2 linked regions of the Notamacropus eugenii genome follow. The protein of the gene in region 1 purifies or fractionates together with the protein of each later gene. This does not show direct contact. Links are inferred from orthologs where the notes say so. Each region holds a gene or a part of one and is shown in the gene's direction. Other genes may lie near its edges.

What was found.
Region 2: the proteins of PRDX1 (region 1) and TXN purify together in Homo sapiens (affinity purification with western blotting; 3 studies listed by BioGRID, with this or other methods). This does not show direct contact. The link is inferred for Notamacropus eugenii from reciprocal best matches to the Homo sapiens genes PRDX1 and TXN.

Annotation. Positions count from the first base shown.
Region 1 is NC_092873.1:506,673,415-506,680,519, reverse strand, and holds the start of PRDX1 (peroxiredoxin-1), read left to right. Parts: upstream 1-4,101; 5' UTR 4,102-4,367; intron 4,368-5,982; 5' UTR 5,983-6,023; coding exon 6,024-6,129; intron 6,130-7,105. UniProt on the Homo sapiens protein: Thiol-specific peroxidase that catalyzes the reduction of hydrogen peroxide and organic hydroperoxides to water and alcohols, respectively.
Region 2 is NC_092872.1:98,090,217-98,097,236, forward strand, and holds the start of TXN (thioredoxin), read left to right. Parts: upstream 1-4,017; 5' UTR 4,018-4,289; coding exon 4,290-4,313; intron 4,314-7,020. Other genes in the region: uncharacterized protein, read right to left, coding at 1,298-1,931, 2,136-2,197. UniProt on the Homo sapiens protein: Participates in various redox reactions through the reversible oxidation of its active center dithiol to a disulfide and catalyzes dithiol-disulfide exchange reactions.

The DNA of each region.
Region 1 (7,105 bases):
CTCCAATTAACTGCTTTCAGGTAGCATAGCCAGGCACTTCTGGGTGGAAGTTGGAAAAGATAATCCGTGGTGGGAAGATGTCTGGTTTCAAAGACATCCTTGCCTCTTTGGTCTTCACCCACTTAGGAGAATCAGAGCATTTCAGAGGCATTTCTATGCAGAATTCTCCCCTAAAACATGCCCCCTGCAGCCAGTCATCCATCATTCATTGATCCATCCATCAATCCATCATCGATCCACCAATCCATCCATCTATCCATCCATCCATCATCGATCCACCAATCCATTCATCCATCCATCCATCCATCATCGATCCACCCAAGTATGCCCTATTGTTTGGCTCACAATTTCCTTCTTCCTGCTTGCACTGGACTTCCTCCAGATTCCTCAGCTGAAATTTGACTCTTGGTTAATTCCCTGATTGTAAGCTTGAGCTCTCACCCCTGGACATCCCACTTCCCCCACCCATGACCCTACAATTCTACTTCCTCTCCCACCATGAAGCTGTTGAGTCATCTCCTTGGTTCTGAACTGTCAGGATGACTCTGAATCCTGATTATGTGAGCTAACAAAGCCTTCCCAGCTTTGAATGTTCTGAATACTTGGCAGGCATGCCTTCTGTCTTCATCTAAGTCACTGATGACCATCTTGTAGGAGACAAGGCTGAAGAAAAAGCCAGGTGGCTCACCACTAGAGACTGCCCCTCCTGGTTCATACAGCCCCATAAATCAACACCTTTTGGTCCTGTAGGAAAGCAGAAAAGTGGTAGCTGTTGTCCATTCCCAAAGAGGGCCTAAATGACATCATTACATTAGAGTTAAGTTATAGTGTGTCCTACTGTGGCCGATCAGATCAATATGAGCTCGGAATGCTCTACCACAGCTAGGGCACAAACAGTCCATGTGAACATATGGGGTGAATTCTCTACATCTGTGCATCTCAAATTTCTTTTGAGCTACTTCAATTCTACTTCGCTCATAGAGCACAGTGACTTCTCTGACGAGGGCATGCCATGCTGGGTGGTCCTGTGCCAGTGTCCCCTACATCACACAATCAATTCTAAAGTCCTTAAGAGAGACCTTGAAAGTGTCCTTCTATTGCTTCTTCTGACCACCATGTGAGCACTTACCCTCTGTCAATTAATTCTCTGTAAGATAGTCTTTTTGTCCACCTCTATAAAGGTAAAAGAAATAGATTGTCCTGTGACAATCACAGGGGGAACTCTGTCTTACCCATTGCCAGATTCTTTTCAGAGTCCTCCTTAATAGGCTGATGCTTCACCTGGAAGACAGTCATCTGCCTGAGACCCAGTGTGGCTTCAGAAAGGGCTGAGGAACAGTAGATATGATGTTTCCTGCTGGATAACTCCAGGAGAAATGCCAGGAGCAGAACAGAGGTCTGAACACAATGTTTGTAGATCTGACCAAGGCCTTTGATGTTGTAAGTCGTGAGGGCTTATGGAAAATTATGTTAAAATTTGGTTGCCCAGAGAAGTTCATCAGTATTGTACATCAATTTCACAATGGCATGCTGGCTTGGGCTCTGGATAATGGATGATGCTCTTGTGCTTTTCCAGTCACCAAGAAAGTGAAACAAGGCTATGTGCTTGCTCCCACACTTTTTAGCATGAATTTTTCAGTCATGTTAAACCCCTTCAATGAGGATGAACACAGAATCAGGGTGAGATACTGAACTGATGGAAAGCATCAGGGTAAACATCAACAGAGGCAGAAATGGGCATTTGTCAGATAGACAGAGAATATAGGAGGGGGTTTGGGCATCCACAGAAGCCATCTACCAGCAGCCCCTACTTCTAGACCTCTACATGTCACACAGTCTGTCTCCCACTTAAAGATCTCAGGGCACAGAGACTCACTCACTTGCTTAGAGGAGAAATTTCCAACACACCTAGAAATCCCCTCCCCTACCTTCTTTTAAAATCTCTGAAACACATTCCAGACTATTCCCTGGGACACCATGCTGGGTGGGCAAATCAGCTCCCTTTTTATTCCTTTCTCTCTGCTTTTTTTCTAGCCAGAAATGGTTCCCCAAGGGCCAGACCTCCAGAATGACAATGGTGGGAATTCTGGCTCTGGGACCTTCAGCCTTGACCTCTGTGGCTATTAAATGGCGCTGAGGCCCTAGCTACCTCCCAACAGGTTAAGGAGGAGGGAAGGTGAAAGGAGATCATAAATGTGAGGAAACTTTTGTAATCATAAAGGGCCCCCAGCAATGTCGGCAATGACTCCTAATGACGACCCTGAGCTCAGGTTGGAGGCCTTACCTGCTCTTTCTCCCTAGCTATCATTCTCTTTGGTGTCATGGAGACGCCACTGTGAAGGAGGGGGGAGAGGAGGAATGGCACCCTCAGGACAGCATCAGGCTGACTTGGGTTTAAGTCTTATTTCTCATAATCCAGCCTGTGGAAAACTCTGGCGTAAAGGAAGAAGGCTGGAGTAGTGGACTTCTGAGGCCTTCCAGCCACAAGCCTAGAGCCTTCTTCTCCAGCCAAGACCATTGAAATAGCTTTCTCACTGTTCTCCCTGCCTCTGGGAACCTCCCAGGTTCTTGATAATAACCTTGGATATTTCCCACCTTCAGTGTTTCCTCTCTGTCACCCAATCAATCAGCAAGTATTTAATGAGCTCCCTAACTATTTTCGCTCAGCACAGAGAATGAACAGCCCCGGGCGGAACAAAGGCCAAGTAGGGGAGGAAGGGCCACATCCAGGGATGTGGGGGTGGGGACTGAGCCAGGCTCCAGGTGGCACACATCCTATTCGAGCCTCCCACCACCAGGAAAGCCAGCTTCCTTCTCCTGCCACTCCCAGCCCCAGACTCATCGCCCAAGGCTTGCTTCAGCCCCTCCCCCCCTACATTTCCTCAAAGCCCAAGGCACCTAAAGACAAAGCCCACTGAGCCCTCCCCTGGTACTCATTCCCCCATTCATCCTGCTTATCATATAACACTCTACAGAAAGGAGCGCAACCCACACCTGAACAGGAAATCCTTCTACAATATCCTGCACAGGGAGTCACCCTGCCTCTGACTGGAGACCACCAGAGATGGGGAGCTCACTACCTTTCCCAAAGAGTCCCTTCCATTCCTGGCCAGCCCCTAAGGAGAGCAAGGATTTCCTAACACTGAGCCTGAACTGATTTGGCCTCTTTGACGATTCCCCCTCCCCCTCAACTGTTCGGACCAGCAAGGCTGATCTTTGTTCCATATAACAGCCCTTCCCAACATGGAGAACAGCTCTGGTGCTCCCCCTCCCCCCTGTCTCCTCTGAGATTCCCTTCTCCACCAGCAGCAGAATGGAAGGTCCCTGAGGGCAGGGCCCAGTTTCCTTTTTTGCTTTGTAACCAGGTGGCATGCCAGACCCATAGTGGGAGCTTAACCAACTTAGGACAAATTCATTCTCTCCAGTCTCTCCCCATGCCCCACACCCAGCAGGACTCTCACTGAGCTCCCTGATCCTGAAAGCTGGGCCTCTCTTAATGCTGCCCAACGTGCTGACTCAGGCTGGCCAAGCTGGTTCCCGCATGGAAGTCTAGTTTTGAGCCCAAATGTTACACTTGCTGTTTATCCTTAGTGAATTTCACCTTCCATTCAGCTCCACAGCTACGAGCTTGTATTTTCCAGTCCTAGCTCAGGGTGCGTCAGTCAGCCCTCCCAGCTGTGCATCAGCACCCTATGCGATGAGCTCTCATCCACCTGGGCCTCCACTCTGGTCAAGGGGAGAAACGTCGGGCTGCACAGAGCCTTGGGGCACTCCACGGGAGACCTCTGGCTTCTGCTTCTCTTTGTAGTTGTCGGGCAGAGCACGGGGCCCGGGATGCAGCGAGTGCGGGGGCTGTACGGCTGCTGCTATGCGGTTACATTGTTACTTATTAATTGTTACTAATTATCTTTTAAAAAGCTCAGCAGGGCATGTGTCTCATGGCCGCAGGGAGTTCCCAAGCTGCACCGACACCTCGCCAGGGGTTCAGGGGTGTTCCGAGGCAGCCGGGCCGCTGGGAGGGAGAGAGAGAGGCGATCTGTATCGGGGGAGGGATTTCCTGGTCTGAGAGGCCCAGACGTCAGGTGGTGGGGGAGAGGGCCCAGTGAGCGTGATCTGGGGTTGGGGAAGGAGGGGCGTCCTGCCCCCGAACCCCGGAAAAGTGCCGAGTCATGCTGAAGGCGTGGATGAGGAGAGGGAGGGAAGCAGGGAGGAGGCGGGGCTTCAGGCGGCCGGGCCCGCCCTCTGCCGCCCAGCCTCTCGCGAGATCAGGGGCTTATAAAGGCGGCGCTGGGCGCAGCATCCTCGCGCTCTCCAGCTCCTGCTCAGGGGTTCGGCCTTTCTTCGACCTTGTCTGCGGAGCCTAGCTGGTGAGGCCAGGGAGCGGGCACGTCCCCCACGCCACCCCCTCTCTGCCGCCGTGCTGCCCCTCCTCGGGCGGCTGGGGACGGGCGGGGAAGCTCGGGACGTCCTGGGAAAGGCGGACGACCCCCCCAAGGACGCTGATTGGCTGGTGGGGGCGTGTTGGGGAACCTTCGGGTGGGGGGCGGGACTTGAAGTTCTCGAAGCCACATCAGATTGGTGGAATAGAAGCCGGGCCCGGGCGTGGGACAAATGGGGAAACTGAGGCACGGGCTCACCTGCCCCGAAACAGCCTCTTACAGGGACCCCCACGGCCTTCTCTGTTTGGACCGTGGAGGAAACTGGGGCTCCGGGGGGGAAGCGAGGCGCCTGGGGAGGAGCGGGCGGCGGCGGCGACTCTACTTTCCCGCCCTCTCCTCGTGGTTCTCCCCGGTGTGACCGAGGAGGGGGCCCCCCCGGGGAGTGCAGCAGCCCATCGTCCCGGGGTCCCAGCATCGGGAGCCGGGGGCACCGGGGCCCTGGTGCCCCCGAGGGCCTCCATCCTCCTCTCTGGCCACGTGGGCAGCACTGTCGGCCTCCACGGTCCGATGATCGGGAGGGGGTGCGGTGGGCTGCACCCCTGCCTAGGCAGGGTCCTTTCCGGGAGGTGGCCGTGGGGGAAGGGCATTGGAGCAGGGTCCCTCGGGGCTTTTCTGTAAAGTGGGTTCGAAGGGGGTGAACCTCGTTCCGAGAGGGCGCCCCTTCCGCTCTCCGCCTTCAGGCAGCTCGCTGGTGGGTCGGGGATTGGAACGCCGACCCAGCCGTGACCACGGATAAGTCACTTAGCCTCCGTCTGCCTCAGTTTCCCCAACTGTAAGATGGGGATAACCCCCGGTTAGCGCGGATCTCCCCGGGTGTGGGTGTGAGGAGCAGATGAGGTCGGAGTTGTGAAGCGTTTAGCCGAGTGCTGGGCACATAGTGGGTGCCGCAGAAAGCCCCCGTCTCTTCCTCCCCCCTTGTGGATGCGCGCTGGGGTGAGCCCACCCCGAGAGGGCAGGGCAGGGCCGGGGGGGCTTCCGGTGCACCTGGGCTTGGAACCGGCAGCTTCTGCCTGGCTCTGCAGTGATCAGTCTCTCCGAATGGAAATCAGTTCCCCTTAACTCCTAATCTCTGCTTAGCACTGCCCAGAATTTCCAGCCTAGGCCGGAGCGCAAAACCACCCATCTTTCTTCCTTTTTTCCTGGGGACTGGCTGGTTTGGGAGAGGGCCGTAGGGTAGAGGCCCCTCCCCACGAGGAGTCCGGTCTAGCCGGCACAAAACCCTGTTGCCTAATCGGGCTGTGGAGAACTGCTCAGCCCTGGGAAGTTGGAGGGGACTGCCGGGGTTGCTTTCTAGTTTAGGATGGCAGCCAGGACTTTGCTTTCAGAAAATCCTTCATTTTAAGTGACTAGATCTCCTTGTTATATGTGACCAGGAGGGCAGAGGGCTCCAAGGGCAGTAAGATGGTCAGGTGTGGTTCTAGGCTAGTATGTCCCCTTGGTGCCCGGCGAGTCTCTCAGTGCTCCCTAAAAGTGAGCTGCCTCGGGTTGTCTTAGGAGTGGGAAACTTGGTACCTCTCCTGAAGTCACCTCTCTGGTTTTCCAGCCTCATTCCTCTTGGCCCCCAGTTACCGTCATACTGTCAACATGTCTGCGGGCAATGCCAAGATTGGGTTCCCAGCCCCCAATTTCAGAGCTACAGCTGTTATGCCAGATCGGCAGTTCAAAGACATCAGCCTTTCTGATTACAAAGGTGAGTTGAATTGCCCGAGCCTGATTAACATTTCTTGATTAACCAAGTCTCCATAACAAAGGCACCTTTGTGCACTTTCTGCTGAGCTGTTTTTATTTCCTGTCTAGGGCTGAGTGGTGATGTTGCCCCCCCCCACTGCTTATTCCAGGAGAGAATAATACTGTGGCCTATCTCCTTCCCTCCCCATCTGCGCCCAATTCTGATATCAAAGGGCCTTGGATCTCCTCAGATAAAATGGCTGATACCCAGAGGACCTTGGCCAGCCTCTCCTCTGGGGTCTCAGCTGGCTTAGGAAGGTGCTTTCCTTTTTGTGCCTTAACTGAAGGCTCTCTTCAGTGCCCCTCCCCTCAAGGGCTGATGTCTGGGGTGCAGTTGGGTCTCAGAATGGCAAAGGAAGAGGGCCTGGTCACTCAGGCCTGCTGGGTTTTCTGGGTCCCGAAAGTGTCCAGATTGCTTCGCAGCTGCAGCTGCTATTCTGAGCTAAGCCTTGCAGAAGCTGATGAACAGAGAGGCCCGGCGTGGTGGGTTCTGAGCCTTGTGGGCCACAGCTGGTTGGCAGAGGAAAGGGTAGCTGTCATGCCCTTACATACCCGTGTACACACACTACCCTGACCCCAGAGGGAGGATCCTATGAGAGTGCCAGTAGTCCAAGATGCTGCCCTCCCTTGGGCGCTGAGGAACAGGATGGCACTGACAGATTTGTTGGGATAAACAATGTTCCCATTGAGGTTGGCTTTCAGTGGGGACACCAGATGCTCTCCTCGATTCACTTGTGGCTTATAGAACAACCCTGAGCCTTGGCCTTGTTCTACCAGCATGACTCCCTTGGGGTAGAGCCAAGCTTGGTTCCCAGGGTCACTGGCTAGTTTGAAGGCAGCTTCTAAATAACCTCTAAACTCCTTGAGGAATATGAGCATGTGGGCTGCTTATGTCTTGGAGTGAAATCTGCCTCAGGGAACTGATTTTTTTTCTCTGT
Region 2 (7,020 bases), on another chromosome or scaffold:
TTTGACTTCTTCATCTTCATCCAAGTAATTGGTAAAAATGCTGAACAAAACAGGGCCTAATACAGATCCCTGAAGCACTTCCCTTAGGACTTCCTTTAAGGCTGACACTGAATAATTAACAAGTACTCAACGATCCATCAATCCATCATTCAACCATTTCTCCGTCCACCTAACTACTTAGTCTTCTCAAGGATTCTATCAGAAACTTTACTTCTATGGTCTTCAGTTGTCTGAAAGATAACAATGAAGGTGTTGGGAAATACAATGTATTTGATCAAAATTAGCCTTTCTATTTTATTACTGCACATCTGGCTCTTTGATTTCTTGTTGTTCATCCTTCTAGAAAAGGAACAATGACATCAGAGGGGTGACATCTTAACTTCCTCACCAACTGAATTTAAGTGAGGCAGAGCTGTGCCAAGTCATTAGCATCACTCTCTCCAATCTAATGCTACCAGTCAGGACTACCGGTGATGGTCCCCTTTCACTTCTTAGTGGTTCATGGTTACTCTGGCAGTAGTGGTTAAACCTCTAGACTTGGAGTCAGGAAGACCTGGGCTTGCATCCTCATCCCAAATATTTATTTACTACCTGTGTGACTCTAACAAAGTTATTTAACCTTTCCAGGAGTCAGCAGTCTCATCTGTACAATGAGCATCATCACAGCATCTTCCTTGTTGTGAGGACCACACAGGGAAAATGCACTTAAAATCTTAAAACTCACGATAAATGAGTAACTCCTGTTACTAACAAATACTTATTGAGGGCTTACCCTGCTGAGTCTCAGAATCACAGAATCCTATAGCCCGAAGAAAACTTAGAGACCATCTAGTCCGACTTCATTTTACAAATGAAGAAAATGTGGCCCAAAGAGAAGGCATCATTTCATCAAGGAGACACAGCCACTGAAGAGCTGTTGGCAGAACTTGAACTCAAGTCCAGGCCTTTTAACTTTAAATCCACCACTTTTCCCTTTAAACAAGACTTCTATTCATTGCAAAGTACTCTGTAACAGTGGTATAAAAATCAAGTTGAAGTGGAGTCCATTAAATCATACGTAAGGATCCATGTGGGCCACATGTTGACTTCGTTTTAAAATGTCACATTATCTACGTTTTACGTTATATTTTGTTAAATATTTCCCAACTGCATTTTAGTCTGGTCCAGGCCCCAGCTGTGGGCCATATGTTTGACCTCTCTGCGGTGGAAAACCAACAGAAAACCTCTGGTCCTTATCCTGAATAACATAGGCACACACACAAACGTGAACCAGTATTTTGTAAGTCCTAGGGAAGAGCTACAAACAAAGCGATATGGGCACCGGGGTTGGGGAAAGGTCGCCTCTAGCTTGGAGAACAGAGAAAGGAAAAAGGCTCCCTAGGAGAGGATGCCTGACAAGGTCCAGGGGAGAGCAATTCCGGGGAATAAGTCTCGCGTGGAAGAAGCCAAGACAGCCCGGTGTTCTTGGGCTGAGGGAGTGCGGGGCAGGGGCAGTGGGAGCTGGAGCTGGGGCTGACTGGGCCGGGGGGGCTGGAGCTGGGGCTGACTGGGCCGGAGCTGGGGCTGACTGGGCCGGGGGGGCTGGAGCTGGGGCTGACTGGGCCGGAGCTGGGGCTGACTGGGCCGGGGGGGCTGGAGCTGGGGCTGACTGGGCCGGGGGGGCTAGAGGGCTGGAGCTGGGGCTGACTGGGCCGGGGGGGCTGGAGCTGGGGCTGACTGGGCCGGGGGGGCTGGAGCTGGGGCTGACTGGGCCACAGCTGGGGCTGACTGGGCTGGAGCTGGGGCTGACTGGGCCGGGGGGGCTGGAGCTGGGGCTGACTGGGCCGGGGCGGCTGGAGCTGGGGCTGACTGGGCCGGAGCTGGGGCTGACTGGGCCGGCGGGGCTGGAGCTGGGGCTGACTGGGCCGGGGGGGGGCTGGAGCTGGGGCTGACTGGGCCGGAGCTAGGGCTGACTGGGCCGGAGCTGGGGCTGACTGGGCCGGGGGGCCCTGAATGCCCTGCTGGGGCCAATAAGGGCTCACAGGAGCCCCAGGAGCAGAGCTGTGACACTGCTCTAACCTGTTCTAAAGCTCTCCTTTGCTCCAGACTACCTAGTCTTCTTACAAGGCTGCTGCATGACTCTTCCCTTCTCTTACTTGTGGATAAACACGACCTGTCCCAGCACCGCGGGCCCTGCCCGCACCCTGGTCTCCCGCATCGTTACCGGGGGCGGCCCGGGGCCATCGGCCTCCCCCCGAGCCCTGGGAGGATCTGGCCGCTGAACTGACCGTTTTACCGTCTAACCCGGTGGCTTTACCATTTTAGGTTGCCGGTGGTTTGAGGGGGGCAGCCAACCAGAGCCAGCCACACAAACCACCCCGGGAACAAACAATAGAACTGGCACCTCCGGAAAGTTCGGAGAAGAGGAGCTCGCGGGGATCTCGGTTCGGAGCATGGCCGCCTCGGAGTTCCCACCTAGGCCCCCGGGGCGGGCCCTCAGCCCTCCCTGATCTCGCGGCTCCCCAAACCAGCACCAGGGCCCATCTGCTGCGTCACCAGCAGCGACTTCAAGGAAAATGAGAAGGAGAAAAGGAGGGAAGGAAAAGGAGAAAAAGAAGGCAAGTTCCGGGAGGGCGCGGCCTGCGGTGGGCGGGGGCCCGCCGCGGAGACTTCCTCATCATCGTTACACAGCATTTTGTGCCCGCTTCCCGGGCCCTGGGGACTGGAGACCACGAGGACAAGAAGTCCGAGGGACTGCGTCCGCCCGGCCCACCCCCGCTGGGGCGGAGGCCGGCTTCAGGCCGGGCCAAGCAGCCCATCCCCGAGGCTCGGCTGCCTCCGCGCTCCCGGGCGTTTTCCCCAGGTGGCCCGGAGGCCCGCCTCCGTTTCCACGCCCTCGTAGGCAGCCCCGCCCGCGACCTAGAGCGCTAACCTGTCCTCCGACCGCCGCTCTCCGTCGCCTCCCCCGGAGCCCGGTCCCGGGGCTGCCCATGCCCATGTGCGCTCATTTGTGGTCGGGGGCTGGCCCAGAGCAGGGGGCTCTTCCGGCCCCAAGCCCTAGGACCTCGCTCACAGTCCGCCCTCCGCCTCGTCCCTTTCTCCCTCCCTCTGCCCTCCAGGGCTGGCCCAGGGGACACGTGGGCCGGCTGGAGCAGAGGGTGTTTTCCACGAAATGGCTTTTACTCATAGTGTAATTAAATTTCGGACGGCTCGATGGGTTCGTTTTGCAAACTCTAGTCAACTTTTCCTACTCCTCTCCAAGTGATCCTCGAGGGCAATGGGACGATTAGGAAATCAAATCCGAAAAGGGACGGCACCAGGCCGAGGGTGAAGCGCCAGGGCGGCCTGGGCCCGGGCCCGCGCCGTTGCCAGGGCGGGGGGCGGGGAAAGAGAAGCGATAGGGGCGGTGCTCTGCGGGGCCGGCGCTCTGCGGGGCCGGCCCCGGAGACGTGACGCGAGCGACGTGGCGCGAGCCCAGGGCGCCGAAGGAGGGAAGGGGGAGGGCGTTCCAGGAAGGGGAGCGCCCGGGCGAGCAAGGCCTCCTTCCTCCCTCCCCTCCAGCCCTCCTCTCCCTCCCCGGGCGGCCGTCGCCTGGGCTCTTCTCCGCCCACGGTATAAAGGGCCCTTGAGGCGGAGCCTCCGCTACTTTCTTGCATTTCCCGCAGAAAGAAGCATCGCCCAAGAAGCCTCCGTCTTCCAAGTCACCCGGACCTAGCAAGTTCAAGTCACCCGCACCCAAGTTTCTCGGACTCTTCAGAGCAGGCAACTCCAAAGCCAAGTCCCCGTCTCCCGCCCGGGCCTCCCTGACCAGCGCGTCGGCGCGGTCTCCGCCTCCGCCTCGGCCTCCGCCCCCGGCGCCGCCCAAGCATCTTCCTCCTCCCTCGCCTCCTGCGCAGCCCGCTCCCCCTAAGCCACCCTCGCCTCCGGAGCCTGTCGAGAAACCTGCTCCACCCGAGCCGCCCGCTCCACCCGAGCCGCCCGCGCCGCCCGAGCCGCCCGCGCCGCCCGAGCCGCCCGCTCCACCCGAGCCGCCCGAGCCGCCCGCGCCTCCGGAGCCTGCTCAGCCGCCGGCTCCGCCAGCGCCTCCCGAGAAGCCCGCTCCGCCCGAGCCGCCAGTGCCTCCCGAGCCACCCGAGCCTCCCGAGCCGCCCGAGAAGCCCACTCTCCCCGAGCCCTCTGCGCCTCCAGAGCCGCCAGCGCCTCCCGAGCCATCCCCTCCTCCCGAGCCGTCCGCACCACCAGAGCAGCCCGCTCTTCCCGAGCTCCCTGCGCCTCCCGAGCAGCCCGAGCCGCCCGAGCCGTCGGAGAAGATGGTGAAGCAGATCGAGAGCAAGGTAAGAAGTCGCGGTGCCCCCGAGCTGGGAAGGCGGGAGCGGAGGAGAGCCCCGATCCCCATCCCCAGCCCCGCCTAGGGCCATGTGTGCCCTAGTCCGGCGCCCTGGGGAGCTGCAGGCCCGGGGCTTAGCCCGGAGATTGGCACTTCGTGGGTGTTTGTTGCTTGGCTTTGGTCCTTGCCCTCCCCCTGGCCTCCAGTCCTCGGAGCCCGCCCGGGGGTGGTCATTTCCCTGCGGCCCGGGCTGCGGCCCTGCTGCCGTGACGGAACGTCTGGGCGGGCCTTGGCGCCCCCGAGGGCGGCGTTCCTGCCTTGGGGGCATTTTGGCCACCCCCTCCCCTCCCCCCGGGTTCCTGCCGCTTTGCGCTGCTGTGGTTGTCCCTGGCCCGGGGTCTGCGATGAAGAACTGCCCTGGTTCCCCTGATGGGGGTGACCCCAGGGCAGGAGCCAGCCGTGCCCGGGGCCGTCGGGACGTCCGGCTGGCTGCGCCCTGAGGCCGGTGCGCAGAAGGGGGAGGCCATGACTCGGCTGGCAGGGGCACCTGACGGCTGGGCGCTTCCTTGCCTTGCCCTGTAGGGTTTCAGGATATTCAGGGCAGCGATTCCCTTGCCCTCTGTTGGCAGTATTCGTTTCCTGACACCCATCACAGTGTGAGATTTGTTTCCTTTCTGTTAATTTAATTCAGTTCCATAGACGTGTTAATGAAAAAGATTTTTGGACGTTTTGGGAGAATATGCAGACAACTTTGAGATCATCAATGACGCTGGGTCAGATATCCCCAAAATGGAGCCTCTTGCTTCAATACAGGGGTAGTCACTGAGGAAAGGCAGGAGAGAAGACAGTTCGATTCAACAAGTATTCAAGGGTTTCTTATGAACCAAGTGGGAAACAACATAAAGCTTTTTGCTCCAAAAGCTTGCAGTTCAATAGGGGTAATAAAATATGATAAGAATGTGATACTAGCTTAGGAGTGAAATAGGACACCAGAGAAAATGCCGTGTAAGATTTGAATAGGAGAGATCACTTCCAGCTAGGGAAGGAAGGGGGGTCAGAGGAGGTTTGTGGAAGAGGTGGCTTCAGAGATGGGCCTTAGAGGAACCGAGAAGATTCAGACAAGCAGACAGACAGTGGAGGGAGTGCATTCCAGGCCTGGAGGGTGCAGGAGGAAATAGGAGCAGATAGAGAATAGTTAGTAAGAGTTTCTCTTAAATACAAGGATTGAAGGAGAATACAGTGATAAAAGGCTAGAAATATGGGATACAACAAAATTAGAGAGCTTTGTTTAAAAAAATGCCAAGTGTTTATCATATTCTCTGGACGGTGGAGAGACAAAAGTCAACTTTTGTATGAATACCTCCTTCACTTTTGGAAAAGGTAACCTAAACCTGCCGTTCTCATCCTGAATGACTGTCATCCCCCTTTAAGAGATCCTTCTGATATACTGGAGTCGTTCCTCTTTTACAATATTTTGTGCAGTACTCCGGAAATTTATATCTGTCTATTGCTAAAGTGCAACCTGCATTTTTGGCTCATATCTAATGTTGTATCCATAGATGTTTAACCACAACACTTTTAAGTGTATTCCGCATTATTTAAAAAAAATTACATTAACATGTAAAGACAATTTTTCACTGTAATGTGCATTATTAACATCTCCTTCAAACCAGTCCCTCCCTTGCAGCACTTAATTGATTAAGGTGAAAATACGCTGAAATTTTTTTTTAAAAATTAGCTCTCTTGAGCCTGTATGAGCTGGTTCTAGCACAGACAAACAGCCAACACATACCTGGTCATGATGTTCTGTTGTATGCCATTTGATGGCAGGACATCAGTTATAATGTTCTATGGCCTAATTGCACTTAACTCACATCTCTACTGCTCTTAGATCACCTGTAATTTTTATTCTGAGATTATGTTTTTCACTTAGTCATAGCCACATATACCAAGAGAATGATGTTTTTTTAACAAGCCAGTTATGACCTTTGAGAGACCTCTGCAATTGTTCAGGCACGATCCAGCCTGTTTTCTTCTTATGTAATTCTAGGTCCAGTTCATTGTCTTTAGCACTTGCCAAGTATAGACACACACACACACACACACACACACACACACACACACACACACTTTTTTTTCCTGTGCTAATGCTTAGTCAGATCTTATGCATAATAAGGGCTTTCACTAATGAGCCCTAGTAGTATTTTGGAAGGGACATTCATTAAGCACCTACTGTATACCCGTTGGGGCAGCTATATGATGCAGTAGATACAGTGCTAGACCTGGAGTCAGGAAATTCCTCAGATTTGGTCTCAGACACTTGCTAGCTATGTGACCCTTAGCAAATCATTTAATCTTGATTGCCTCAGTTACAGCATCTGTAAAATGAGCTGGAGAAGGAAATAGCAAACTACTCCAGTATTTTTTTTAAAAAGTAAATTATTTTCCCCTCAATTATATATAAAGACAATTTTTAATATTGATTTTTAAAAAACAACTGAGTTCCAAATTTTCTCCCTCACTTCCCTTCCCCCCCAAGAAAAGCAATTTGATATAGGTTATACATGGTCAATCATGCAAAACATATTACCAAATCAATCATGTTGTCATAGACCCAAAGGGAAAAAAAATGACCAAAAAAATACTGTATGTGAAAAATAGTACGCTTTGATCTGCATTCAGACCCCATCAGTTCTCTCTGGAGGTAGATAGCA